Linked DNA regions of Ovis aries. The main gene of each other region encodes a partner of the protein of the gene in region 2 in a complex. Links are inferred from orthologs where the notes say so. Each region holds a gene or a part of one and is shown on either strand. Other genes may lie near its edges.

Evidence for each region.
Region 1: the proteins of PTH2R (region 2) and PTH2 are in contact, whole or in part, in a cryo-EM structure (PDB 7F16), measured with the Homo sapiens proteins. The link is inferred for Ovis aries from reciprocal best matches to the Homo sapiens genes PTH2R and PTH2. Residues at the interface, in NP_005039.1 of Homo sapiens: Thr31, Ile32, Ile34, Gln37, Ile38, Asp68, Gly69, Leu70, Ile90, Tyr91, Asp92, Phe93, Met112, Lys117, Ala120, Tyr122, Leu126, Gln130, Pro131, Ser134, Lys137, Gln138, Phe141, Glu142, Tyr152, Arg190, Ile194, Lys197, Val201, Ile205; in NP_848544.1 of Homo sapiens: Ser62, Leu63, Ala64, Leu65, Ala66, Asp67, Asp68, Ala69, Ala70, Phe71, Arg72, Glu73, Arg74, Ala75, Arg76, Leu77, Ala79, Ala80, Leu81, Glu82, Arg83, Arg84, Trp86, Leu87, Tyr90, Met91, Lys93, Leu94, Leu95.

The regions. Positions count from the first base shown.
Region 1 is NC_056067.1:55,618,277-55,620,803, reverse strand, and holds PTH2 (tuberoinfundibular peptide of 39 residues), read left to right. Parts: upstream 1-1,177; coding exon 1,178-1,299; intron 1,300-1,797; coding exon 1,798-1,972; 3' UTR 1,973-2,010; downstream 2,011-2,527. UniProt on the Homo sapiens protein: Plays a role as a potent and selective agonist of PTH2R resulting in adenyl cyclase activation and intracellular calcium levels elevation. Induces protein kinase C beta activation, recruitment of beta-arrestin and PTH2R internalization.
Region 2 is NC_056055.1:210,573,740-210,577,974, forward strand, and holds the end of PTH2R (parathyroid hormone 2 receptor), read left to right. Parts: intron 1-1,237; coding exon 1,238-1,279; intron 1,280-2,507; coding exon 2,508-2,903; 3' UTR 2,904-3,695; downstream 3,696-4,235. UniProt on the Homo sapiens protein: This is a specific receptor for parathyroid hormone. The activity of this receptor is mediated by G proteins which activate adenylyl cyclase. PTH2R may be responsible for PTH effects in a number of physiological systems.

The DNA.
Region 1 (2,527 bases), on a different chromosome or scaffold from region 2:
TGGGAGTCCCCCCCCCCCCAAAGACCTCTCCCCTCAGATCCAGGAATCCAGGTTCCCAGACCCAGGCCTTGTTCCCCTCCTCTGGGGAACTAGGAGTCTCAGTTCCCATGTCCTGTCAATCAGAGACCCAGATTGCTGCTGCCTTTTGGGACTTCCCAACCTTTGCCTACCATCCCATCGTGAAGAGCTCACCCTGTTAAAAGCCAGTACTGAGGGGTGGGCCTTATCGTCACAGCACCCCCAAATTCCTCCCCGGGAAGGGCTCGGACACTTCAGGGTAGTCAGGGTCCTTGTCTGTCTTTTCCCCTTCTGTGCAGTGTCGCTAAGACTTTCCTGATTTTGCCTGTCTATACTTGCCTTCACATCCCACCACCACCCATTCCCTTTGCCTTCTCTTTCCTACCCCTGTCTCCCACCTCTCAGTCTTTCTGGTCTCTGCCTGCCTGGACTTGTCTCTGGATCTCTCTGCCCAGGCTGGCTGGCTGTCCTTCCATCTCCTTCTGTCTTTCCGAGTGCCGTTCCCTTGATCCTCCATCTCATAGCTGCTCTCTTGGTCCCTTTCCCCTCTCTTTTCTCTCTTCCTTCCCTTTTCCTTACGTCCTCTGTTGCTCCCATTCTCCCTCTCTTTCCTCTTCTCTGTCAGTCTTTGTCCTTCCCTCCCATGGTTGCTTCATCTCTTTGTGTCTCTGCATCTCCCCATCGGTCCCTCCTCTGTTCCTTCCCCTGTCTCTCTTTCTCTGTGTCTCTGGCTTCTGCTCTGATGGTCCTTCCGCCTGTCTCTATTTTTATCCCTCTGACACACCCCCTGTGTCCACTTCTCTGTCTGTCTGTCTCTCCCCCTCCCGATTCTCCTCAGGTCCCAGCTCTTGGTCCCAATTAGTGGGTGGCCGACAAGGCAGCCGCTGGCCCCCCACCCCCGGCTCCTCATTACCGCTGGCAGCTCCTAATGAGCCTGGGGTGGGGGTGACCCGGTGCCCCCGGCCCCCTGGTCTGCGTCACTGGCCGCTGCGGGGGCTGTGGAGGCGATATAAGGGGGCTGCCAGCCTCGCTGCCGGGAGCCCACTGCGCGGTAGGGCACCCTGCAAATTGGCTTTGGGGGTGGGTGGGTGGATGACGGGGTCTGGTTTCTGGGCCCAGACGCGGGCATCACTGAGCTCTTCTTGTCTCCCCGCAGGTGATGGAGGCCCGCCAGGTACCCAGGAGCCCCCGGGTGCGGCTGGTGCTGCTGCTCCTGCTTCTCGTGTCCTGGGGCCACCGCACGGCCTCAGGAGTCGCCCTGCCTCCCGCGGAGGTCTTCAGGTGAGCTGGACATCCAAGTCTCCCAGGGAAGGGTGGGGACTCGGATAGGTGGAAAGAGACCCAAAGAGAATGGGGAACAAAGACTCAGAAAGGGGAAATAGAGACCCAGAGAGGACAGAGGTGGGAGGTTAACAGGTAGGTAATCTGCAAAACAAAGAGATACAAGAGAATTCTGAGAAAGGCTTTGAGAGACTTGAAAGGAGTCGAAGCAGGAACGAGTTTGTTCCTTGAGCAACGTTTATTGGGTCTTTGGTGTGTGCCACGCGTGCGCCGAGCGCTGGGGCCGGACAGGGGCATCAGACTCGGTCTCTGTACTCAGGAGGCTCGGAACCTGGTGAAAACTGAGCCGAAGACCCACACAGAGCAAGAGACGGGGACAGAGACCGAGTCCCTTCGCAGCTGGTGCAGTCACAGGGCTTCGAGTTAGACCGCGGGGAGAACAGGCGGCGGGCCGCGGGCCGGGACCCACAGTAACCGCCTCTTTCCATCTCCCGGCAGACTCCACACCCCCGGCGGGGCTCGGGAGGGTCCGGCCGCTCCGCAGTCGCGGCGGAGCCTGGCGCTGGCGGACGACGCGGCCTTCCGGGAGCGCGCGCGGCTGCTGGCCGCCCTCGAGCGCCGCCACTGGCTGAACTCGTACATGCACAAGCTGCTGGTGCTGGACGCGCCCTGAGCGCCTGCTCGCCCCACCTCAATAAAGACCCTGCTGTGCCTCCCGACTGCGCCTCCTTCCTGCGCCTCGTGTGCGTGTGGTGGTGGTGGGGTGTGTGTGTGTGTGTGTGTGTGTGTGTGTGTGTGTACACGTGCAGGGGGCGGGCCCTGCGTCCGCTACGCTGACGTCTACCCCTCCGTCCCCTCTGTTCTCATCTTTCCCTCCACTCATTCTTTCTCCCCTCTGCCCCACCTCCTCTACACTACTGCCCCAGCTCTGCCCCTTGCTCCCACTCTGTGCCTTTGTCCCTCTCCACTCGCATACCTGCTCCCAACCCACCCTGAATCTCCATCCTCCCCTCTTCTCTCACTCTCTGTAACCTCCCTGGTCTCTGTCCCCCTCTGGGTCACTGGCCCTTCTCTGGATCTCTATAGCTCACTGGGTATCTGTCCTCCTCTCTCGGAGTCTCTATAATTCTCTTCCTTCCTCCTGGCTTCCCGGCCCTCTGGGGATTCTTCGTCTCCTTTATTCTTCTTTATGCCTAAAACTCTTCCTTTTCCTGAAAAATAAGGAATG
Region 2 (4,235 bases):
CCCTGTTGGAGCAGGAATCTGTGTGTGTGTATGGAAATCAGTGAAAACAAAAGACAGGATAGGCAGGTGAGGGGAAAAAAGGGAAGGGGAGAAAAGAAAGAGGAAGAGGTTGCTTCCATACATTTGATCTCAGTAGAAAGCACGACACTATCATCCCTCACATGGACGGCTACACACTCCTCCTAACTCTTCTTCCTGCTACTCATTTGCTGCCACCTCCTGCCTTCAACCTAGTCTTCATAGAATAGTCTGAAGACTCTTAAAGATAAATCTGACCATGTCACTTATCAGCTGAACATATCCAGAGGCTTCTCATTGCAGTCAGAATGAAATCCAAACACTGTTTCCTTGTGTGCACAGCCCTACGGTGCAGGGACCCTGCCCAGCTGTGGCCTCACCTCACACCATGTTCCATGCTGCCCACTAGGTCTGAGCCACACTGGCTCACCCACAGTTTCCGTTCCTCAGGTTCACCTCTGCCTCAGGGGCTGTACTTGCTGTTTTCTCTGCCTGGAATGCTCTTCCCTCTAATACTCATATTGTCTGGCTTCTTCGCACTCAAATCAGCTTAAATGTCACCCTCTCAGAGAGGTCTTCATCGAGTTCCCCCTCTGATAGATCTTCTCCACTCTTCTCTTCCAACACCACTTGTTTTGCCTGAAGAGTCTTTATCTCATCATTTTACATTCTTCTCTGTGGCTATTTGTTTATATTTTATTCATCTGTATTCTCTTCCAGAATATAAGCTGTAAGAGAACAGGGACTTTATCTGTCTTGATTAAATTGTTTATCTCTGTAACACTGAGCATTTCACAGTGTGTAAAGTCAACAAATATTTTTGAATGAGTGGGAAAAAAAGTTTGTGTTTTCGCTATAATATACCCTATGCCTACAGTTGTCAACATTCACAGTGTATAAATTTCACTTACCAGCTAGGGGATGTTCGGTGATTCTGAATGGCAAACATGAAATTAACATGATAAAAGTCAGTTATTCATGTATCCTGAAGTATTTTATTTATTTATTTGGTTAATTTGATACCAAGGAAAGATCTCAGACAAATTTCATGTATATTTAAGGATTTTGAAATATTAGGAGAGAATAATGTATAATTTTCTGGAGGAATCATTTAAAAAAACCCTGTTTTTCAACATATGCATTTTGACACAAGATGCTTTAGTGCTATAATCTTCATAATTAAAATTAATTAATTAAAACATTCTATTTTCTCTTCCAGGGTTTCTTTGTGTCTATCATCTACTGCTATTGCAATGGAGAGGTAAGTTTGAAGGAACCCCAGACCTCCTGTAGGTCTAACTCTGAGTATAAATTGCTATCACAATATGACCTGAATCTCTTTAGAATCTCCAGGGGTTACAGGAAAGAATGGGCAGGGAGAAAGAAGATATTTTCATCATAAATTATTTTGAGAAACCAAGAATTGATGTAAATAAGCCAAGGTCTTCCTCTTCCAGCACTTTTCAATGTCAGTTCAGTTGCAGACCTTGATGTCAGAAATCCAATTTGTTGGAATGCAGATTGATACTTGGAAGGACAGTGAACATCATATTCCAGTCAGTGCTTCAACTTACATTTAATTTCAAGTTCTGTAAGAAAATCAAATATAACTCTCTGGGAATAACCCATTAGAACATTGTGACATTTTTAAAACTACCTGATGGTGATGGGACAATTTCAGTTCATTTAGGAATTGCCTGGAGAGAAAGAATGGTACCAATCTTCTAGGTGACGTCAGCTTATCAGGTTTCTACTGCTTCCCATGGAACTCTCAAAAAGCTCCCTTCTGGAAAGTTGCAGTAGCAGAATGCAATCTTCAACAGCAAGAATGGAAACAAGAGCCCTACCCTGCTAAGAATGCCCTTGCAGTGCCCACTTTTCATAGTCCAGTCCTCCTCCCGGTTGCTCTCCTTCATTATGCTTGTGCAGAGTGATAGGTTTACAGTTCCATTCACAGATAAGCAGCTTCCATGCCCTTCCACAGCCTCAGCTGGCACTATGTATCCATATTGTTCCTCCAGCCCAGATCCCTTTTTCTCCCTCTCCCATGAGCCATTTATACTGGCTGCATTTCAACTTCTATTAAAGCACTAACCTTGGACAAATCTTTTTGCTTCTCTCTAAACCTCAGTTTGCTCATCTCCAGTAATAACACCTCTCAGGAAGAGGTTGAGAGAATACAGAGTTGAAAATATACATTTTCACTATATATGCACTACAGTACCACACATCTGGGGTTGGTTGAGTCCACCCATGTGAAACTCTAGATATAGGCTAACTGAGAATTCATAGGGAATTTTTCAGCTGCAGGTGGTGGGCACCCCTCATCCCTGTGTTGTTGAAGTGTCAACTGTATATGTAAAGTCCCTGGTATACAGTGGAAATTTAGTGATTATTACTATCAATGAAGTCAGGGCACATATCCATCCAATAAGGTTGCAGGGCCTCTGAAGGTTTTTGATGCATGAAATGGTCCTTGTGGCGTTTAGGTTCAGTCTGAGGTGAAGAAGTTGTGGAGTCGGTGGAATCTCTCCGCGGACTGGAAAAGGACGCCCCCGTGCGGCGGCCACAGATACGGCTCCGTGCTCACCACGTTGACGCACAGCACCAGCAGTCAGTCGCAGATGGCGGCCAGCACGCGCGTGGTGCTCATCTCAGGCAAAGCAGCCAAACAAGCCAGCCGACAGCCCGACAGCCACGTGACTTTACCTGGCTACGTCTGGAGTAACTCGGAGCAGGACTGCCTACCACAATTGATCCATGAAGAGACCAAGGAAAGTGGCGGGAGGCAGGGAGATGAGATTCTAATGGAGGAGTCTTCCAGGCCATTAGAATTTAACACAGGTCTGGAAGGAACCCAAGGAGAAACCGAGGATGCTCTGTGAATCCATATCTGTGTCTTTGAAGAGCTGGTTCATCTCGTTGTGTCAAAGGAGCTAGGCCTGTGAGCAGGCAGGGCTCCGGTGTTCACAGCCCATTTTCAGGCGCCAAGAATTGACTCCTGTAAATACTAAAGCCACAAAAGGAGAAAGTCAGTGGAGCAGTTTATTACCTTATTTTGGCATCAAATTCTTTTCGAATTGATGTGCAGTACTTGCTCTGTGATGTTCATTCTTCTGCTCTTTTTGGGTAGAGAAACATTTCAGTTGCTTGGTTCTAGTTTTCTCTTGTAAATATCACTGTAAATATGATCAAGATCATTTGGTGTGTGACATTTGCCTTTAAACAAATCAGTATTCTCTTTTCCACTTTAAGGGACTTCTATCATTCCATTCATTTTGTCTGTGCATAGGAACAATTAGGGTCTAAAAATGTACATTGAAAGATTAAAGAGTGCAGAACAAGTACACACTGGAAGATAAATTGTCTGGATTTTGTTAAAATAATAAATGTGTGAGAAACTTGTTTCATTCTAGGAAAAAGGGAAATTATTCAAAAAAGAATATTGCACATATTCCTCCTTTTGAATGTCCCCTCTGTGACCAGCCAAATCTCAAGTCTTCACTCTCTTGTAAGCCTTAACACAAGGTTTTCTTGGTCAGTGAGCTTATGTCTGCAAACAGATTTTGTTTGTAATCATTTATAGTGATGGTCACACTGAATTTATTAGTTTTTCTTTGTTTTATTACTGTATTCCCAATGGCATGTGGGATAAATTAAAGTTTGTTTTAAAAATACATTTTGAGTCACTTTTTAAAATGTTCTCTTAGCATCTAACTTTGTTTACAGGAATCAGTCAAATGTCCCTTCTTCAAACCTACAGAGATCAGCATGTAGCCCCAGAACTTCACTGAGCTTGACAAGTCAGTATATTGTAGCAGTGAGATATTTATTGTGTGCATGTTGGGTACACATATCCTGCTAGGTTTTTACACACATTAACCTATTTAATCCTCACCACAAAGTTTATGGAGTAAATCTTATTGCTGTCCTGCTTTTTACAAATGACTGTGACTCATGGAAGTAGATTGACTTGCCCAAAGTCACACAACTAGTGATTGAGAGAACATGGTTTCAGACCCAGATCTACTGACTTTAAGCATCTTTTTCTGTCCCTGTTGACCATCTGCATATCTTCTTTGGAGAAATGTTGGTTTAGGTCCTCTGCCCATTTTTTTTGATTGATTGTTTATTTTCTGATACTGAGCTGTCTGAGCTATTTGCATATTTTAGAAATTAATCCCTTGTTGGTCAAATCCTTCACAAATATTTTTCCC